Linked DNA regions of Kluyveromyces lactis. The protein of the gene in region 2 purifies or fractionates together with the protein of the main gene of each other region. This does not show direct contact. Links are inferred from orthologs where the notes say so. Each region holds a gene or a part of one and is shown on either strand. Other genes may lie near its edges.

Region 1 (3,758 bases), on a different chromosome or scaffold from region 2:
GAGCTGTTTCGATAAATATATAGATGATATGGGTCACGAAAACAATTTAATCCATTGCAAGGCTTGGTTGGAGACTGAAGAAATGGTTGCTGATATTGTAATGGAAGATGTGGAATTGGATTTAAAACCTTTTAGATCTTCTATGTCACCTTCAGATCTTCAGATCGATCAGTTAGCAATCACTAGGCCAAGTAGCGAACAAGATTACATACACGTAACTTCAAGAGGTGAATTAAGCTCATCTGAGGACGTGGAATTAGATCCGAGAGTAACACAAGGTACAATTGATGATATTTTGGTAGATGATATTGACGAACAACAATCTCAACAAACTCTACTACAGGCAAGCTACTCTGATCAAAATGCCAAATATCCATCTTCATATAATCCGATACACGGACTCGTCGCAACTTTAAGACGTGCAACCACTTACTGGAAACGTTGATGGTTAATTTTATGCTATTTCTTCTTTACCTATTCTCCTTCTAATTGATTTTTCTTCCTTTCACGCTAATATACACTGCTTTTTGCTCAACTTCTTCTATCCAGTAAAAATCTTCTGAACACATATTCATCAAACTACAATAATTACTATTTAAACCTCGTGCTATTTCTCTTCTTTAATTTATTTAGCCTCTAACTTCTTTTTTTTCTCAGGATGTAATACAGTCTGTCGGTTTAAATCGATTACGACGATTGCTTCAAAACACACTCTCTTCCCATGCTTTGGTAGCCTCAAATGAAAGCATACAAAAGTCATCTCATTTGAATGAAAATTGCTCTTAGATAAAGTTCATGGATGTCTTCGTAAAACAGGTCATTTAACTTTAGATAGAGAAATTGATATAGGTCTGTGATTTAACAATGTAACACTGTTGTTTCACTTCTTAACACAGCTGCCGTTATTAGGCCAAAATATAATACTTACATTTTACATGGATTCGAGTAAAAAAACGCGTCGCGTAAATCTAAAAAACTATATGTATGAAAGTAAAAAAAAAGAGGCGACGAACAACAAATCAAGGAAAAAAACAGCTCTCACTCATAGTACATTAACAACAACAGTCACTTACTAGAACCATTCAGCCTCGTTCCACTGTCTACCTATGCCAGTGAGAAGGTCAACCAGGATAAGGACCAAATCCTCTTATAGTGAACAATCTGGATCAGAATCGGACTCTGAGCACGAAACTATAGGATCCATTGTCACCGACGATCGAATAAATATCGAAAACACGGATAATCAGAAAGAAGAAGAAGCTTTATCACAAGGTTCTAGTAGTTCAGAAGAAGACGATGACGCCAATGATGACGACTATGTTGCCCCTGGCTCCAGAAAAAGACCAAATTCCGGAGGTAGGCGCGTTGCAAGCAACAAGAGAACGAAATTAAAACAAAACGAGAAAGGCCGACCATCTAATAATATATCCAGTGCTGTTTCAAGAAAAGAACAGGAAGCATACATATCATTGCAGAATGAATTCAAACCCACAGAGCTTTTTGAAATTCTAAGCAGCTCCGACGATTTTTCTTGCGAAGAACTTGCCAGTGACTGGTTGGATTCCTATATAGATAACCGAAATGTCAGCTTAGCGAATCTCATAAATTTCTTATTAGATTGTTCTGGATGTTTCACTCATATTGGTGAACACGATGTAGCTAATAATGACTCTTCGAATGAAACAATAGGGGAAATACAAATTATGTTCCATGAGCAAAAAAAACATGAGTTCCATTTATTACTATCGGCAACACACAAGAAGGCAAAGTTCCGTCCTTTGAATGATAATTTTAACATTTTCATGACCACATTAATGGACCTAGCCATTGAGAAAGAGATGATATATGTTGAGAATGAAAAAGAAGAAAGTGACGAGATTGTGATCGAAACAAATCCATTAATTATTGACTTACTTACATGGATACCTTCCATGTCAGTATCAAAAATACGATGTTTGCGATATGTTTCAGCTAAAGCCATCTTCTGTTTCCAAGATTCTCTCGCACGAGCTTCTGCCAGCTTAGAAGCAGAGGTGTTATTTAAACTGAGGAAACAGTTGACACTGGAGAGAAAAAAGAAAAAGCCCAAGTCCAAAACTATGGAGACGCTAGAATCTTCTATTTCTGATGCTGAAGCTACGAAAACTGTGATAGAAAACACTATTGATAACATAATAAAGCTCTGTTTTGTTCATCGTTTCAAAGATGTAGATGAAAATATCAGATCCCTTGCGATATCCTACTTGTTAGATTGGATTGAAAACAATCCAGACTACTTTTTTAAGGTAACCTTCCTCAAATACTTCGGTTGGTTGCTATCTGATAGCAGTAATTCAGTCCGGTTACAAGTTATAAGGTCCCTTCATGACCTAATTAAGTTCTCCAATAAGAGAAACAAAAATACTGTCGATAACGCTGCCCTAAGACAATTTTTCGAAAGATTCAAAGATCGAATGTTAGAAATAGCTGGCAGAGACATCGATATTCAAGTAAGATTAACCTCAGTTCAAGTACTTTCGTCGATTAATGGGTTGGGTTATCTGGATGACCATGAAATAATAGACATCATTAGCTTGATCTTTTTTGATCATGAAGTAAAAGTATCTTCTTCGTCAAGGGACGTTAAATTCTTGAACGAGGTTACCAAATTCTTGGCAAACATTGTTTCTGAAAAAACGGAAGAGTTTCTAATAAACAATGAAAGGTTTAAGGTTCCGGTAATTTCGGTAACGGAAGAGCAGTTTGTTAAGGTGGGTGTGTTAATGAGATTATTACACAATTCATTGTTAAATCATATCAACTCCACTAGTAATTTAGAAGGTTATGCAAAAGTACCACCGGACAAAATCAAACTCTTACAGCAAGCGGCGGAATTTTTATCCCCCAAGTTTTACAACTTAATTGAAACTATATCAAAACTACTCTATGAAGAGGGAAATTTCGATGGCAGCACAATTCATGCTGATGCAGATGATTTTTCCAATGATCTGGGTGATATCAAATTGTTCCTACCAGAAACTGATAACAATGTCCTATTTTATGCCACTGTGTTGGGCGGCTTATGCACAGGCGGCATACAGTACAACAAAGGCCAGGACAGACAAGCCGTGACACAGTTAATTCTTCCAGAGTTAGAAGATCTTTTCAAGAAAATGAATCTTGATTCTGATCAGATATATACTCAACTACTAAATGTAATACAGCTATTAAACACAGAAGAATGGAATTCCAGTGAATCAAAGGATGTCATTTTTAATATCAATAAAACAATAACAAAACGATTTGAAAGCTCTCCAGTGGTTTTGAGCAACGCAAATGCCATTACTAAAACCTATAAGAGTTTAATTCCATATTTGGCATCCCTTCAAATACCAGAGGTAACTGGTTATTGGAAGTCATGTCTGATTAACGTGACATTATCATTCAAGAAGTTTATGGAATCATTTGACATAAAATCTGATAATTCAATAACAACATTATATCTGCAATATGTTAACAAACTTGTAATTTTGGGTAAGGAGTTCGCAATTGAAATTTCAGAAACGCTTTTGGATGACATTGTTGAAAAATTCTTGAAGCCGTTGAGTGAATTACTACCAAAGATTGATTCGGATGCCATATCTGTCCTAGATTTTAAGCTTTTCACCTCAATAGTTACTTGGAATTTAGCAACTTGGAGAGATGTTATCAAAAATAATGAAGAACCTATAGCTGTTTCACATACTACGCTGAATCAAATTAGAACGGTATTAGTCGAA
Region 2 (3,720 bases):
TTAATGCAGGAGCGAAAGACCTTCAAAAGCAGTAAATAACATTTACCGTTAAAGTTTGACGAAAGATATGGAAAGAGTGAGTAGAGATGCGGTTTTGATATGAAATTGATCGGACAATTGGCAAAAAAATAAAGTAGGTCATATCTATTTCTTGCATTCGATTCACTCAGTTCGTCTGCAGATGCTGCATTCTCAGTAATCTCTTCAATAAGTACATTAACAAGATTTCTTAAAGCATCAAATATCGACTTCGTATCTTCATTCTTATGAATGGAGGGGTTCAATACGAAAAAATGAAAGAAGAACTCCAACAGTTCCTCAGTCTTGCCACCATAACCGATGAGTGTTGATAATAGCTCGAGGGTTTCTGATAAATCAAATCTATGCAGTTTTACGGACAAGTCAGATGCACTATGTCTCAAAATTAGTCTATGAAGTAATAGTTTCCTGGCATTTTCCACGATAACATCCTCTTCATCCTCAATTCGTCTCAAGACTTTTTCTAAAACGAATGTCTTTATTTTCAGGTCGGAACTTGTATCAAGAATCTTTTCATTCATCCGCATAACATGTTTTCGAACTGCTATACTGTCATCGTCAAAGTTACAGTTTATTTCTCGGTAGAATTGAATGTAGGTTGTGGCCTGCTCTAGAAGATCCAAAATTGCATCTCTAACGGAAGCCGAAGAGTCATAGAGTCTGTTTTTTATGGTTTCCTGAACAAAAGGAGTATCTAACATCTGAGGATCCTTTGATACTAATAGGGTCAAACATTTAACTGCTCCTGATTTAAGTTTTACTTTTTGTTGATCCAATAACGAAAGAATGAGCCTCAAAGCGGGTTCATAAAAGTTAAACAACGGACTAAGTGAAACAATTTTCATGTAAAGGGACCGAACTCTTTCATTACCATCGATACCATTATTTATTTCTTTCTCGCTTATTTCTTTCTCGCTTATTTCTGTCTCCCTTATTTCTTTTGCTATTATACGTATAACAAAATTCATTACCTGTGCGTCTGTTTTGTCTATCTCCTTCTGATCTAACATCTCACTGATATAAAAAAGTGATTCATTCCACAATGCTCTATCGGAAAAATATGTCTTGGTCTGCGAACCCAACCAATCGAAACACTCTTTGTACTCATTTTGCAAATTAAATATCCTTTTTACATCCCTACTTTCCTCGGATGCAGCCCTCAGTTTAACGTCTGTCAAAGTGGCAGTAATTTGGCCGACAAGTTGAATAGCAAGCACTTCGAAGTTTCCTGTTCCTTGATACGTAGGGCTGAATATCTGAAACAATTTCGGCAAAAAAGCTTCTAATAAATGATGAGAATACGCCCATTTCGGGTTTCCTATCATAGTTAGCAAATCTTGGATGTAAATCTCCACAATTGATTTGAATTTGAAAGGATTCGTAATCAATCCTTCGAATAAAGTTGTTGTGACGTTATCGATTAGTCCTTTCAATTCCAAACTTGCGGCATTATTCTCGGACAGTACATTTTCAAGCAATTCAGACGTAAAATCTGACAATAGCTCAGCATCAGGCAAAGCATTTATTGACTGGAACATGGCAACAAGGGCGACAGTAAAATACGATGCGTAGCCATTCTCAAATTCATCGACCAATTTCAGTTTTTTAGTGGATTTTGAGACTACTATATCATGCACGTGTGATAATAATTCTTCCGTAATAAATAGCCGCTGAGATGGATACTCAGAAAAAAGTGATATTAATATTCCAAGAGAAAGGTCTTTTATCCGCTCCGCTTGCGATAAAAGCACATTAGTGTTTAAGTGTTGATAGCATCTGTGTAGTAGCATATCACAGCAAATGCACACTGATTTGATCAAAAACATTTCGTCCAAGTATGATTGAGAGGCGACAAACTTTTCCAATAAATTGATGAATAAGAATATATTTCCAATATCTGCATTAATACCTCTTGAGTTGTCCGAAACATGTAACTTCTCGAGCGCATTATCAAGCGCTGAGAACACAGCATTGTAATATTCTTCTAACTGAAGGTTTGCGGATTTGAGATCTATCATCATAACTTCAAGAATTAAAAATGCGCAACCAAACGTAAGGTTATTCAGATCTAAGGACTCAGATTCATTGTCTGATTGATATGCTAGGATTCTTTTGATATTTCTAGTGCAAAGACCCAGTATTTTTTTAAGAGATTGAACATCAATATACTCAAATACCATCGGAAATCCTAGAACTTTATTTATCGTCAACGATATTGCATCTATAGCCTCCGAAGTAGCAACGTAAACATCACCTAATGGCTTCCAGAATTTAGCGTTTTCATTAACACTCCCTTCAGAATTGAGTCCGACAGAATCTAACAATTTCGAAAGATGATCAAGACAAAGTTTTCCAACTTCCAAGTCATTCATCGGATTAGATTGTACACAAATTTGAATCCGTTTGGAATCCAGCTCATTCAGCAATACCTTGTCTTCCCCTGCTTCTAGCCTTCTTTTTTTAGTAGCTGTGTTCTGATTTCCAGCAACATTCGCAACAATACTAGCAGAATCGACCAGGCTTGTAACAGTCAGGCACCTGATTCCTAGCTGTGGAAGATTTTTCAGAAGCTTCAGATCAGGAGCAGTTTCTTGAGACTCATCTCTTAAAGTAATATTATTGGGTCTCCTGAATAAAATGGGGTCCCTGTCGCCTTCGTTAAATGGGTCGAAATCGATAGGGTGAGGGTATAGCCAATGTTCAGATGGGGGTGAACCGAACGCACTGTTACATGAAATACTGATATCTTCGGTTATTGAAGAACTCAGCAAATTAGATAGCCCTGACTTCGGTACTATGTGGTTAATTGGCTGGTACTTCAGTGTTTCAGAGATGCGTTTGGGAATCTCATTGTCAGTTTCGCCTGGAAACCCTTTCGCCATAGCCGCCACTGCTCAGTAATCAGAATATTACTGGAAAGGCAGTATTATTTGAAGAAGATGATAATGCCCAGAGAAAAGCAGATGAAATAGAGCTTCCGGGTGTAAACTATCTGCTGTTGCTTCTTTCAACTTGATGAAATCGTTTGACCGTTCATTGCTGTAGAGATCTAGTATTCGTCTCATTAATTATTTATATATCTATTCGGCTTTCTTGATTTGAAAAAGGCTGCTGCAGTTTTGAGAAAAATATCATGAGAATGATGAGGGAAGCATAAGTAGTCATGAATGTAGCTGAGAGGAGAAAACCGTTAGTTCCTGTACATCTGCATTGCTTAAATCATAGTACTAATTGATATGCTACGTAGAGGCTTCATAAAACAACCCCCTTTCGTGAAGATCTTTAAAATCGTCTCCCCGGAGTCGACAAACGCTAAGGCTACACATTGTGAAGTGGAATTCCCTTTAAAAGTACAAGAGCTCTGGCGTGACAAGCACCACGTAATTTTTAATAAGCCACCCTTGGCCCTTTCTCAATTACCTGACAAACGAACGTGGTACAATACTCACGACTATGATCCCCCAGTGTTATTGGATATTGTTCAAAGCTCTAGTGGAAGCATCCTGAAGGACGGTACATATGAACCATCGTACTACCCCATCCACAGGATTGACACACCAGTATCCGGTGGAATAGTATATGCTGTAAACAAACAGTCAGCACAACAATTTAGTCGAAATCTAAGGTATGGCGGGAATAAAGGATTCTCACTAACTAGAAAGTATGTCGCAAAAGTTGGAA
Region 3 (3,758 bases), on a different chromosome or scaffold from region 2:
AGCAAAGGCATTTGTACGTTCTCTACATTGTTCAAGCTCCGTATCGATTTTGTTTAGTCTCGCCTTCAAAGCTTTTATAGAGTCATCAATCGTAATTTTCTGAGACAGCTTTGCTTTCAACTGACTCCTAGCCTTTTCTATGCCTGCTTCATACGCATCTCTCTCTGCTGCAGCATCCTTAACAACATTGTTTAGGCCATCAATTTCCTGTTCGATACTCTGGAGCGCCTGTTTAATCTCTTGAAGCTCTACTTGAATTTTTTTATATTCTCTTTTCGATTGTTTGAAGTCTCGTAAAGTATCCAGTCTATTACTCTTGTACTGATCCAAGTAACCACCAGATAAAACACCTTTACTGTCTGCACGATCACCGTCTAAAGTTATAGCATTTAGTTTGTATTCTTTGGCAAGGGAAGCACCATCAATCAAGGATTTAACGACAAGAGTTCGGCCAAAAACCTGCTTGATCACTTTCTCAAATTTCACGTCATACTTGATCTTTTTGATTAGAGGTGTACATTGATTTTTCTCCAAGTTATTTGGATACGTAAAGTTGGTATCCACATGCAACTTATTGAGAGGAATAAATGTTACCCTTCCACCTTTCGTTGCAAACAATTCCTTAATTAATAAACTTGCGGTCTCTTCATTGTCAACAACAACATTGAAAAGGGAGTTGCCTCCCACGACTTCTGCACATATTTTGTATTTATCGCTTACCTTTATCAACTCGCCTACAGGGCCAAAAACATGCTCATGTAAATTTAACCTATTAACAATGTCATTGACATTTTGTAGACCAAGTGCTAAAGAACGATCAATTGTTTCATTCATATCTGACTCAAACCTTTTGACATCATTATCGAGAGAGGTGGAAATTGTTTGTAGTCTTTGTTCAGTTCTCCATAGCTGTTTTCTTTGATCGATTTTCGTCAAATATTCCTTCTTGGCTTGTGTTACTTTATTTTGCAAGTCTTCCTGCTGAGCAACAGATCCCATTCCATTTACTGAATCGGCTAGGTCTTCAATTTCAGCATTTAAATTCTCTAAATCATGCTGTAGTGTACTAAGTTGGCTAGTCAGTTGATCTTTTAATATATTAGATTTATTCAGCGACTGGTTTAATAAGTTAATTTGTTCTTGGATCCAGTCATTTCTTTCGTTTACCGTACGAAAATCTTCATACTTCCCTTTTTTTGATAATAATTCTCTTTGCCTCTTTGTGAGTTTCTCGATTTCTACTTTTAAGATTTCTGCTTCATTTGATAGTTTTTGGAATTTTGGTTGTACCTCGGCAATTGACGAGCAGTTAATCTCAATTTGTTTCTTTACTTCTCCGATTTCTTTGACATTTGATTCCAAATGCGCTTGTGAAGCATCCAATTGCATTTGAATATCGTTTAACCTAGTGTCTAAATCCGCCAATTCCCCAGCAACTTCTAGCTTCGATGCCTTTAACTGTGGTAGATCAGTAGACTGTTTTATTTTAATCTCACTTTCTAAAGAATTCATTCTCTTGTTGAGCTCTACTGCAAGCACTTCTCTTTTTTCCAATTCGTTAACATACTCAGAAGAATTTTCAATAATTGAATTGTACTCACCTTCAAGTTGTTCAATTTGGTTCGTAATATCGTTCAATTCCCTATCGTATAAGCAAAACTGTAAAACTTTTCGATCTCTATTTAGATTGTTGTACTTTTCCAATTCTTCCTTTTCATCGGACAATTCGCTCAACCGTTTGTCAAGTTCGTTTAATTCATTAGTGATTTTCGTTCTATCTCTCTCTGCTGCCTCCATCTTTTTCAAAGACTCTTTCAGTTTGTTTTCGAATGATTTTGCACCTACAACGTCCTCTAATAGATGCAGCCGTTCTAAATCTTTCGCGTTGGTCAAGGATATTATTCGCCCTTGCGGAACAATGTTGTAAGGATTCGAAGTTGAAAATCCTACATTTTCTAAAACTCTTCTAACGTCTTGTCTTGTTGAGTTCTTGTCATTAATCATGTATTCATCCTTCTTCAATCCCACTGTCCTTCTAATTCTGACCTCTCCAGTATCGTTTCTTAACGGTGCAAGCATTAAGTTCTCAGGATCATCAAAGATAATTTCAACGAATGCACTCATTACTTGCCCTGCACCTTGGTAGATAAAACCCTTCCTATCTTCACGTTTTAAGTTTGAATTCTCTTCGCTTAAGACGAACCTAATAGCTGCAAAGAAGTTCGACTTACCAGAACCGTTGGAACCGACAACAACATTGTGATGGGGTGAAAAATTCTCCACCACGGTCCGATTCTTGTAAGTCTTGAAGCCACTGATTATAACAGTTTTGATGTGAACCATTTCAACAGTGTTGTAGTCTGTCTTCTTGCCCTTGTAATTACTCTTATTCCTAGAGCTTTCTGATACAGGACGCGTAAACTTAACTTGTTTTGTATAATTTTGTATGTGTTTATGATATTCATTTTTTTTTATTAAAGAAGGACGCGTTTCATAGACAGTGTATAACATAAACAAATTTCAACTCGTTACCCTAACATGCTAACTTAAATGCAACGGTAAGCTTCCTTCTTCGAAATGTTCAAAGTATTTAAATGGATCCAATGTACGCTCGTCTTTACTAAGGCTTGATACGAAGTTAGCTGCTTTCCGATGTAAGTGTTTAAATGGATCATAAACTATGATCGGGTAACTACCAATGTAATAGGCGGTTAAGTATCAAGATGATACATAACGGGTGTTTCGGAATGAAATATCATTAACTAATCTGAATTATTATATAAGGAGGCATTAGATCTGGACAAGGACCATCAATACAGTCATGCCAGATCCCCAGGTGCATCAACATACACTACTGGATATATAGCTAATAAACGCTATGGATTCATCAGATACCAAAGATCTTAATTTAACAGCACGTGACTGGAAATACCAGCCACATCAACAATAAGGTATATTGAGAATCTGCTCCAACACTGAACAGGCATTGGACACTGTAGTCTAGTGGTTTAGGATACTCCCCTTCCATAACAATGATCTTCAGGATCATAGGCGAGGGAGTGACACGGGTTCGAATCCCGTCAGTGTCAATTTTTTCTTTTTTTCTTAAACGCATTTATTATTGAATAATTAATGACGCAAAGGGGCGAATTGGATAAAAGAATTTCGTTCTGAATTCAGCGTTTATTCAGACTTAATACATACAAACGATAGATATTTATTTGCATCAATTGTTTAGAACAAATTTCTGAATAAAATAGTTGTGGAATCTGGCATCATTATCGGACAATTCTGGATGGAAAGACGTTCCTAGAATGCGTCCTTGTTGACTGACTGCCACTATTGATCCATCTTTTAAAGTGTACAATGTCTCTACATCATCCTGAGATAATATCTCTTCTATAATTGGGGCTCTAATGAAGTAGACTTGGAAACCTGTGCAATCAGGAATAAATGAAGAAAAGTCACATGTTTCGATGAACGATTCAGCCTGACGACCAAACGCATTTCTTCTCACCTTTACCTTTAACAGGTCGAGCGAATTTACCAAGCTCGACTCATTGCTGAGTTGTTTAGCTAAAAAAATCAATCCAGCACAGGTCCCCCACACCGTTTTAGTGGGGTCGTGAACGAATTCAATCAAGGAATCAAAAAGTCCTGTTCTTTTCGCAATTAGCGAGATTGTCGTAGATTCACCACCAGGTATAATTAAAGAATCACAGGAGGAAAGCTGTGGAGCAGTCTTAACTGTTATTACT

Evidence for each region. Proteins that work in one complex are often made in the same cells at the same time.
Region 1: the proteins of SCC2 (region 2) and IRR1 purify together in Saccharomyces cerevisiae (affinity purification with western blotting; 5 studies listed by BioGRID, with this or other methods). This does not show direct contact. The link is inferred for Kluyveromyces lactis from reciprocal best matches to the Saccharomyces cerevisiae genes SCC2 and IRR1.
Region 3: the proteins of SCC2 (region 2) and SMC3 purify together in Saccharomyces cerevisiae (affinity purification with western blotting; 4 studies listed by BioGRID, with this or other methods). This does not show direct contact. The link is inferred for Kluyveromyces lactis from reciprocal best matches to the Saccharomyces cerevisiae genes SCC2 and SMC3.

Annotation. Positions count from the first base shown.
Region 1 is NC_006042.1:2,573,069-2,576,826, reverse strand, and holds the start of IRR1 (cohesin subunit IRR1), read left to right. Parts: upstream 1-1,106; coding exon 1,107-3,758. Other genes in the region: ATG45 (Atg45p), read left to right, coding at 1-445. UniProt on the Saccharomyces cerevisiae protein: Component of cohesin complex, a complex required for the cohesion of sister chromatids after DNA replication. The cohesin complex apparently forms a large proteinaceous ring within which sister chromatids can be trapped.
Region 2 is NC_006040.1:1,532,783-1,536,502, reverse strand, and holds the start of SCC2 (cohesin-loading factor complex subunit SCC2), read right to left. Parts: upstream 2,922-3,720; coding exon 1-2,921. Other genes in the region: pseudouridine synthase PUS5, read left to right, coding at 3,276-3,720. UniProt on the Saccharomyces cerevisiae protein: Plays a structural role in chromatin and is involved in sister chromatid cohesion. Forms a complex with SCC4 required for the stable association of the cohesin complex with chromatin, which may act by hydrolyzing ATP from SMC1 and SMC3 heads.
Region 3 is NC_006037.1:23,356-27,113, forward strand, and holds the start of SMC3 (cohesin subunit SMC3), read right to left. Parts: upstream 2,344-3,758; coding exon 1-2,343. Other genes in the region: KLLA0_A00352g (pyridoxal 5'-phosphate synthase subunit PdxT), read right to left, coding at 3,227-3,758. UniProt on the Saccharomyces cerevisiae protein: Involved in chromosome cohesion during cell cycle and in DNA repair. Central component of cohesin complex. The cohesin complex is required for the cohesion of sister chromatids after DNA replication.